Drosophila melanogaster: one gene and its partner. The protein of the gene in region 2 purifies or fractionates together with the protein of the main gene of each other region. This does not show direct contact. Each region holds a gene or a part of one and is shown on either strand. Other genes may lie near its edges.

What was found.
Region 1: the proteins of Pc (region 2) and ph-d purify together in Drosophila melanogaster (affinity purification with western blotting; 11 studies listed by BioGRID, with this or other methods). This does not show direct contact.

The regions. Positions count from the first base shown.
Region 1 is NC_004354.4:2,119,194-2,124,352, forward strand, and holds the start of ph-d (polyhomeotic distal), read right to left. Parts: upstream 2,600-5,159; 5' UTR 2,532-2,599; coding exon 2,494-2,531; intron 2,432-2,493; coding exon 870-2,431; intron 809-869; coding exon 358-808; intron 299-357; coding exon 1-298.
Region 2 is NT_037436.4:21,316,421-21,321,579, forward strand, and holds the start of Pc (polycomb), read right to left. Parts: upstream 1,601-5,159; 5' UTR 1,491-1,600; coding exon 1,377-1,490; intron 1,063-1,376; coding exon 4-1,062; 3' UTR 1-3.

The DNA of each region.
Region 1 (5,159 bases), on a different chromosome or scaffold from region 2:
CTGAGCCTGCGCGACTGCCTGTTGTTGTTGCGCCACCGCTTGCTGTTGCTGGGCGTTAACCTGCTGCTGCTGAGAGACCTGTTGCTGCTGTTGTTGCTGGGCCTGAACAGCCGCTTGCTGCTGCTGCATTTGAATGGCAGCAATTTGCTGTTGCAACATTTGTTGTTGAAGGATGTGCTGTTTCTGAAACAGTTGTAGCTGCTGTTGCTGCTTGTCGACTCCTGCCGCAGTGGCTGCATGAAGGGTCTGTCCATTCTGCAGGGTGATCGGAGTGCCCGTTGTGCTCATCACAACCATTCTGGAAAGATGCAAAAATAAGTACTGTGACAAGGCAGATAATAAACAAACAATACTCACTTGTTGCCCGCCGCATTAACCACCTGCTGGAGATTCGTCGCCTGTTGCTGCTGCTGCACGGTGGTCAGGTGGCCTACTACCTTATTTTGTCCTGCGACTTGACCGATTTCGGTTTTCAATGTGGCTAAAGCGGGGCGCACCGGCTGCTGCTTGTTGCGCATTTTGGCCTTCAGCAGGCTCTGGTTCTGGGCAGTCTGTGTGGATACGGAACTGGCCGGACGCACTTGAGTTCCATTGTGGGGCATGACAGGGGCTCCTGGTCGCTGCAGAGCGGCTGCAGTGAGTTGCTGCTGCTGTTGCTGCAACTGGGCAGTAGCCACCGCTAGTTGCTGCTGCTGCGTCTGGTTGGTAGTGCCAACCTGCTGCTGCTGCTGTTGCTGCTTGGGAGCAAGTGCATCCAGTTGAGTGCGTGCCTTAGTGGGCGTCTGCGTCACGTTGCATTGAATAATCTCTGTAGGAAGATAGTTGACTTTAGTACCTATCCGATGCAATATACATGACAATATTCTTACGGTTTTGCTGGGTCTGCAAAGTCTGCGTCGCCGGTTGCTGTTGAATGAACATGCCTTGGGTTCCGTCTGGCTGGTTTCGCAGGATGATCTGATTGGAGCCGAAGGGTTGCAGGCCCGCCGCATTCTGCCAGAACCAAGGGATCTGCATTTGTTGCGCTTGGCCAGCGTTCAAAAGTTGGGCAGTCTGAACAGACTGTCCACCCACACCGACTGGCAAAGTCGACTGTGAAACCTGCACGCACTGCTGAGTGGTTTGGGTGGTCTGCTGCTGCTGTTGCTGAACCTGCTGCACCTGCTGGGTCTGTGTTGACCCAGTAGATCCAGGACCCGTCGCCGCCTGCACCGTGCTGCTGGTGGTGGTCACCTTCTGAACCACTTTCTGGGCCAGCTTGCCCTGCGCATCCACTCCCACCTTGGCCAGAGCGGCAGTCAGCTGTTGCTGTTGCTGCTGCTGGTTGAGCTGCTGTTGCTGCTGGTTAAGCTGTTGCTGCTGCTGTTGGGTAAGTTGCTGTTGTTGAGCTGCGGCGGCCATTGATTGCAGAAGGTTTTGCTGCTGCTGTGGCGAGTGGGAGATGACATTCACCGGCGAGATGAGCACCGTCTGAGGCGACTGATTGTGGTTCGAAGGAATGCAGGTCGCGTAATTTCCGCCAGCGAATCCCGCTTGGCCACCGATCATTTGCTTGGCGTTTTGAGTCGTGGTGGTAAGCATCTGGGGGCCGTTGCCTTGGAATGGCTTGCCGGCGGTGATCACCTGGATTGGCTGCTGACCGAGGCCTCCTGGATGCAACAGATTTCCCGACACAATCATTTGGGGATACAGGAAACTGGTGGAGGGTTGCATTAGCTGCACCGTCCTTCCCTGTGTCCAATCCCCGCCAACTCCTCCAGTGGCCGCTGCCAATTGCATCGGCGACATGGTGCTGATGGCTGTGGAGTGCTGCTGTTGCTGGCTTTGCTGCGAGTTGGCCGGACTAGCTGCTCCTCCGGCTCCGGCCGAGGCTGCTCCTCCACCGTTGGCTTCCGACAGCTGCTGCTGCAGCTGCAACTGCTGCTGAACTTCCATAATGTTGGTTGCATGCTTTAGTTCAGTTCCACTGCCACTGGTCGTGTGCGTGGGAAACTCTTGCTTCACCTGAATGGCGTAGGGATTGTTTGCATATAACTGCTGCAGCTGCTCGGGGGAGATCTGCAGCGGCACATTGGTGGCGGCCGCCACCTGTTGAGCTGGACTCTGTGACTTCTCCAGTTTGCGGCCGGTTGTCTTTGAGTCGGGTGCGCTTGGCGATCTGCTGCTGAGCGGTAGTAGTGGGTGGCGCCGTCTGATTGATGGCGTTCCGACTGACCCACGTGCTGCCTTAGAGCTGGGCGATTGGGATGGACTCTTGGCAAAGTCCTCGTCGAAGCTGATGCCTGCCTTCTGGGCGAGTGTTTCCAGGCACCTTAGTGGCCGCTGGGGGTCCACGCGAGTGGTGGAGTTGACCTTTACAGATGTGGTGGCTTCCGGGGAAGGTGGTGGTGTACGTATTGTTGTTGCTGATTCACTTTCGGTGTCCCCACTGCTGGAAAGAGAAAGAGGAAACGCACACAGACTATCAGTAAATTGCTTTAAACACAAACAAACACGGACACACTTGGCGCGGCTCCGAATCCGTGGGGCATGCTTCATATTCATGTTTAAATTTATATTTATATTCTTATTCATATTCTCTTAGCGCTTGACGAACAAACCGCACAACAACAAACTGCGACTGCATGTTACTCCCGCCAAAGACTCTCTCTCTTGCTCTCCAACGCGAAAAGGGGGACGAGGAACAGAAAAAGAAAGAAGGGGGTGCGACAGGGACGCACTACCATTGAGAAAGACAAAGACGGGATCGATCTGGGTCCAAAAACGCCAAAGAAAACGAAAACGAAAACAAAGTCGGGACGAAAATGTGAGAAGGGAACGAGAGATACACTTTGTTTTGGATGATCGTTCACTCACGAGGTAATTTACTTACAGTGGATACTGTTTAGGTGAGACGTGGTAAGCTTAAACACCAACATATTATATGGGAAATTACAAATGATTGCAGCTACAACTTTGTACAACACTAGCCCCACCGTGTATTCAGTACTTTTTACGGAACAGGTAAATAAATATTTTAATTTGTTCATGATTCGTGACCCACTAAAAGTGCACTGTTTTTCATATGTGCATGCACACCAACACCTAAAGCAGGTCACTTGTCAGCGTTGCCTGTGCCCGAAACATCTATTTATAGTAGGATTGCTCTCTGCTGCATATTCCCCTTCTCCATCACCTCCTCCCATCTACTACGCAGAGAGGAAGTTCGAGTGGGTGTAAGGGAGACCACTTTTATTTACGGATGGCCCTTGGGCGATGGTTATAAGCCATCATGGTGATATCCAAGGGGACAGGTTCAAAGACCTAAGCTGGGCGCTCAAAATGCTGTCGCCAGTTGTCCAGGAGTAAGAAATGGCCGCGGCTCAGAGGAGCGGAAGGAGCAACCGGCGCCACCAATAATAGTTAGGAGTTTCAGTTACATTTGGTGTGTATCGGGGGTGGATTTTGGCTTCCATTTCCATCGGCAGGCTAAGAGCGGAACGGATTTGGAAGGGGGGTAATAAACCTAGGCACAGCAGCATCTTCAACTTGCAACCGAAAGACTGGTTTCTTTCTACCGCGCCACGATATGTGCATGTGTGTGTGTGCATGTGCGTGTGGCGGCATACAATAATGCCATCATTATTTGATTTTTCCCTTAGCCAAAAATTGAGTTGCAAGAGGCAGAAACAGAGGAAGAGGAGAAGGAGAAAACGAAGAGGCAGGGAGCAATGACAACAATGCGGCGCAAACAACAGGCAAAGAGCATGCGCCGACGACAGCGTCTCATCAGAAAAAATATGTTTTACCGTTTTCATTTTTGCTTTCCTTGCTGTACTGTATTATTGTATATTTGGAGGCACCTGTACATGCCTAACATTCAAAACGACGCAACTTTAGACGCCGCACAGCATTAATTGTTTTCACTAATCACTTATAGTCAGCACCGATTTGCATTGATCGCCAAAAATAAATATATAAATAAATACTACGAAACGGTGGTAGGGTGTGTGTGCGTCGCGTCGGCGCTTTTTTTTTCCCCCGTTCAATACACATGCGGTATGCGACACATCGACACCACACCAACACGAACGCAAAGAGAGCAGAGCGCAAGAACCGCACGCCGCCAAGTTAAGTTTCAAACTGAACCGCGCGCTACAGCGACAACTCTACTTTTGCTCGGATCGGAAACAAAATGAGCGCATGTGTGCTGAATGTGTGTGTGTGTGTGTTGGTGTGCAGCTGGATCCGCTTCTCTCCTCTCAGATACCGTTGCGACTAATAACTTTTCTCTATACCGAAATGCACGGGTGCGAGTGCGACGCCACTAGGAGTGGCCCTGGTCAGATAGCGCGTGCGAGCGGGATGCCGTGCGTTCGCTTGGGGTTGGAATGAAACGGCAGCAGTTGACAAAGCAAAACCAAAACGAGTAAAAAAAACAGGAATCAAGACTACAGCTGGCGGGCATGTGTATGCGTGCTCAACCACCCCGACTGTGCGCCCCCTTCCACTGTGAAAACAAAATAAAATACCCGAGACCGAATCCAGTTTTCTGTGTCTGTACACTCGAATGTCTACCGCCCGACTCAAATTCGATTGCTGCTATACTTCATCTTCTTTTTTTCGTTCCTTCACAACCACCACTACTTGGCAACCTCTAGCGCCTTTCTCCCTTGCTCTTACTTTATACAACTTACTTTATTATTGGTTGTGCTTGTCGGAAACAGACGAACGAAGCGTTTGCGAAGGGAAGGGGTAGCGTATGCGCAGAGACAGAGTGATATGTTCCCACAGTGGCACTCGATCTATTGTTATTGGAATGCATTATTGTTGTACTTTGGCAACCAAAGGCACACTGGAGCAATCTTATAGAGCAGCAACGTAAAACTTAGGATTTACATAGCTGTGTAGAACAGAAATATCTTTGTATGTACATAACTGTCGACTTGGGTTATGCCAGTAAAACAAAAAAGTAATGGTGTAAAATAATTATTATTATTATTAAATAATTATTATTATATTAAATAATTATTATTATATTATTAGGAACATAGATATAAGATTTAGAGTTTCACTTACATATTAATATATTTATTAATTAATTTTTCAAATGTTTCACATATTTACCGTTCATGACCCAAGGTGCCTGTCTTTGGCATTTCATTTTTCATTTTGTTCCA
Region 2 (5,159 bases):
AGCTCAAGCTACTGGCGACGAATCGCCTTTCATGTCGCGCTCACGAAAAAACCCGCGCTCCGTCTTGCACTCGCGTATGGTAACGGTCTCCAGGTTTACGGTGACGTCTGTGATCACCACCCGGTTGGATATGTTGCATTTGGCCGGCAGCCAGAAGCGCGGCGGAAGGGCACGCGGCGAAAGAGGAGTAAGCGGCTGTTTCTGGTTGATAGCCAGGTTGTTGCACGGTTTTGGTATGTTATTGTTCTCGGAAGGAACCTGTGGCGCCTGTTGGTTGCCTTCCTCGTTGGCTACTTCTTCTTCCTCAGCTCCGGACTCTGCGGGCGTTGTGTTTATGGCTTCTGTGGCCAGTGGGGTGGCCTGCTGCTCAGATTTCAGCTGCGTTGCAGCCTCGCTGGCAATCTTTTCCGCTTGCTGCTGATCCTGGAAGGGCTGCTGCTGGCTGGGAGTTACCTGCTGGGTCGGCTGAGGCTTAATAGTGGGGCCATCTGGGGAGGTCTTAATCGTAACTCCAATCTTGCCCGATTCCTTGAGCACCTCGGCTTTGCGTTTGGTGCCGATCAGCGGCTGATCCTCGGAGCTGGAGGAGTTGCTGTCCGGCTCGGGGACAAATGAGTTGTGCGTGAAGCTGCTGTTCGAGGAGGAGCTGTGATCAATGCGCTGACGCTTGGACTCGTGGTGGTGGTGATGATGATGGTGGGTCAGCGGAGATTCCGAGCGCCGTCCACTGTTGCGTTCGGACTTGATGTGGTGATGATGGTGGTGGTGGTGATGGTGCTTCTTCTCCTTCTTCGACTCCTTATCGTGGGTAGCCGATGAGGTGGTGGCTTGATGCGTGTCCACATCGTTTTCGGTGAAGGTGTACTCATCCTCCTCGGATTCCGGCTCCGGATCGGGTTCTTTCTCCTTCTTCTTAATGCCTCGCTTGGAGGGAGTTCCGGAGGATTTGTTCGTTTGTTCGTAGATGTCGATGAGGCGGCGATCCAGGATGTTTACCTCCGGTTCCCAGGTGTTGTAGCGCTGGTTCCAGCCCTTCCACTTGACACGGTACTCCACGACGCCCTGGAAAATCGAGTAAGTGAAGGAGTGGGGGTGGATTGCATTTTCTTAGACAACTAATTGATTTTCCATTCAGCGAAACAAAAACACGCCTCACATACACACACACACACATACGAACGCACTACGCACACACACATGCATCGTGCAAATGGTGGTTGCAGCAGCAGATGTCCTCTGGCCAAAAAATGTCGAAGGACATGTGACCTTGTGGACTATACATATATCCTGCGTGTGCTGCGCATATTGCATTTGCCATTTTTAGCGGAGCATCCCGTTTTGGTCGCCTTTTTCGAATTTGTTTACGCTCATCTCACCTTCTTAACGCGCTTTTGGATGATTTTCTCAGCCGCGTACACTAGATCGACTGGATCGTCGGTCGCATTGTCGCGCCCCAACTTCCCCTTACTCCCCTTGCCTCGACCAGTCATTTTTAATTAATAATCTTCTCGGAACGTTTTATTATTCGTTTTATTTGCAATTAACTTCTGGTTTACAATTCTGCGTACGTCGATAGTCGTCCGACTCGATTATTTTCATGTAAACAATCGATAGTGCTGCGAGGTGCAGAGTTACCGTGCTACAAAGAACTGGGATCATATCTTAGCAAGTAGCCGTGTCGCACACCCTTTCCTGGCAAAATTAGCAAAGACTCAAAACTTTGATGACTAGACACACCTAATTGTGCGTTTTTAAAATGTAAATGTTTTGTTAAAATATTTTCAGAATTTCTTGACATTTTTCTATTATTTATAAATGGGGTATATAAATGTTTTAGAAAACATTTTTTTGGCGCTGTTGCCTTATACACTATTTTCTTTTATCGTTTCTACAAATTACTAAACCGGCGAGAAGTTAAACCAATTAGCTTAAATATAAAATAGCTTTTAATCAAATTTTAATAAGCGCATTTTTAATGAATCCTTTGTACAGTATTCTTTTTAAACTGCATGTTGAATTGAATTCCAGGTAACGAAATATTATACTTTCGTTAACGTTTATCGTTGTGTTGCTTTCATCCCATATTGAGTTTTGATTTTCCTTTGTCCTGCTTCACTTATTGTATCACAAATTGCCACATATACTTCGCCCCATATTCCTATTCAATTAAGTTTGATAATTAACTTGATTACAACTGAACTAGTTACCCTCTTCGAACTCTTCAAATGCCACATCCTCAAGAGGGAGAGAAAGTGCGGGAGAGAGTGTGAGAAAGCACAAGAGCGCCGAAAGCTCAGGATGGATGTGAAAGGAAGTGGCCGACTGCAGATATTTTATGCCAGTTGTATGTTGGCCGAGGGTTCGCGTGGCGGGGGCGGCAACGACGATGACATTATTTTATTTATGCTGTGATAGTGAAATAACAACAACACCAAGACCAACAACTGAAATAACACCCATTCCCTTGAAATCAATCGCAATATTTTCGACGAGGGACGCGAAACGCATGGAGAATCTTCACACTTAACGACGAAAACGAGAAATTAACCAAAAGCTTTAACCAAAACATAAAGAAAAACACCAAGCAAATTGTTGCGAACCCTATAAATAGATTAATGTTTAATTCATAGTGAAAACAGCACCAATTAGCGCATAACCTATAAAATATTAGTCAATATGTTTAGCTAGTTACAATTTACATAGATGATATTTAATTAGTGGCTTCAAACAAAACACCAAGCAACCAAACAACCGAACAAAAAAGGGGAAAAACCAATACCTAGTTCAATTGTACGGAGCGAAAAACTAACGAATAGCGATTAGGAAAACTGGCCAACTGATAAGGCTGGCGAAAATATTAAGCTTATAGCATATAGGAAATAATAATAGCAACGGCAAACCACCCCATCTCCAGGCGAAAGCCCCGAATAGCGGATTCATTCAGAAAAACGTGCCACACAACCGGACGGGAGCGACGGACAACGGTAAATGTCAAAGTCATAAAGAGAAAACTCGGAAATGCCGATGAGAGAAAGCTCAGAGAAAACGTCAAAACTATGAGAGGCGATAAAAGCTAGCCAGTTACAGTTATATTGGGAGAAGCAATGCCAAGTGTCAAAATCGCAAAGAGAAAGTAACAAAAGAGAGACACAGCTTAACGAAAACTTCCGGTTATTTTTTAACCAGTAGATTGAGCATTACGGCCATATATTAACGCAAACAGGACAATGGAATAGCTTGTATTTATCAGTCGTTTTGCCTAAAAAAAGAGTTTATAAAAAGAAAAGAGAAAGGAACGCCGCAATAGGAGGTCATACAAATCCTCAGAAGAGGGGTCGATGATAATGTGACACAATTCTATTCAATATGCGCAAATAAAAGAGACAGTTTCGGAGTTAATTAGGGGAAAGCCTAGATAAAGCTCAGAGCAAATCCCGAATCTAAACCAATGAGAAAGTGAAAGCTCAGGATAAAAGCGTCAGCACAACTTTTGGCCAAGACACAATCCAATAAAATCGAAACCAATGGCCAGCACAGCGGTGGGACTGGGAGGCGGCGAAGGTGACCCCGGGGCGGGAGGACCGCCAGCGGGATCAGCGCATCCCGACGACGCCAGCAGCATGAGCGACGACGTCTTCGAGGATGCGGAGACCACCCAGGCCAGGATCGAGGAGCTGCGTCGCCGGCCCTTTGGCGATGGCTCCTACAATCCCCCCGCAGCGCCCGCCTCAGTTTCCGCCTCGATAACGACGACAACGACACAGCAGCAGCAACAACATCACAATCCTTCGCATCACCACCAATCCTCGCACCACCAACCATCCCACCACCATCACCACCACCACCACAGCCAGCTGAGTTTGACGGGCAGCCATCACTACCACGACGATGCTATCATGGCGCCCGTTCAGCGCTCGGCCACCGGATATCCTGGCTATCGTCCCTCCCGCGAGGCAATGCAGATGTATGCGTACGGAACGGATGACTACGACGATGACTATAACGATGGTTGGCGATCGTATCGCTACGATGAAGTGGACATGCACCCAGCCCCGTCCAACGCCCATCAGCAGCCCTTCGATGATACGGTTAACCACAAGACGATCCTGCTGGGGGATTCGGGCGTGGGAAAGACCTCCTTCCTGGTCAAATACAATACGGGCGAGTTCCGACTGGGTTCCTTTTCCGCCACAGTGGGCATTGCGCTTACGGTGAGTTTTGAATACTGCAGTACCACAGTTTGTAAGTAGAAACTACTCTAGCTCCATATGCTGTAACTCGAACCAAAGGATTACCGTTTTATAAACTACTTTCTCGGTAAAAGCAACATCAAAGCAATGCAAAGTACTTGGTAGCCTAACCCGTGAATTTAATGATATGCCAACTTAAATACAGAATGGAACTCTCGCATGTTGACAGATGTTGGTTCGAGTTGCAGAAGTTCGAGCGTGGTGCCCAAGCTGTGGAACTCACTTGGCCTTAAACTTGCGATTGTGGGCGAATCCGTAGCGCTGCCTGCTGCATGAAACCCGCACAGTAGCCTGACCCCGCCTACTTAACCAGCCGCCCCTTTCCCCGCCCATGTATTGACGCACATTCGAATGGGCTCGCTTATGTAGTAAGAGTACGTCTGTGTGCATTGGCCTGCTGTGTGTACCTAATTGGGGAGCAGTTCCTGCTTTTGGTAATATAAGTCTCCGCCTTCGGGGCACTGGGGAGTAAATAACTAATCCAAATCTCATAACAGACTGTCGTTTTTTCAAAATTTTCTCTATGGCTGTTACGCCTAAATTCGTTTAAATATTATTATTTGTAGTAGTGCCATTTACATACATATATTTCTAGTTTTCGGTACAGAGACATGTTATTACTATTCCGCAGTAAATAATAAAACTCTTTTCGCCTCCTAAACGTATTAAAAATGACAAGACCAATTGGAATCCTTTCTCGCAGTGCACCTTTTTACTCCGCTAAATAGGCAACATATTGTTCGGGTAATCGCCGGAGATTTTCTATTTTTGGCGGGCATGCTGAAATCCCCCAAATTGATTTTTTCCCGCACGGTAAATATAAATCTCTGCGTTCGACCTTTTCCACGTTGTTGTGTTGTGCTGACATTGATGGCTGTCTGTGTGTGACTGTATGTGCAGCGCGCACTC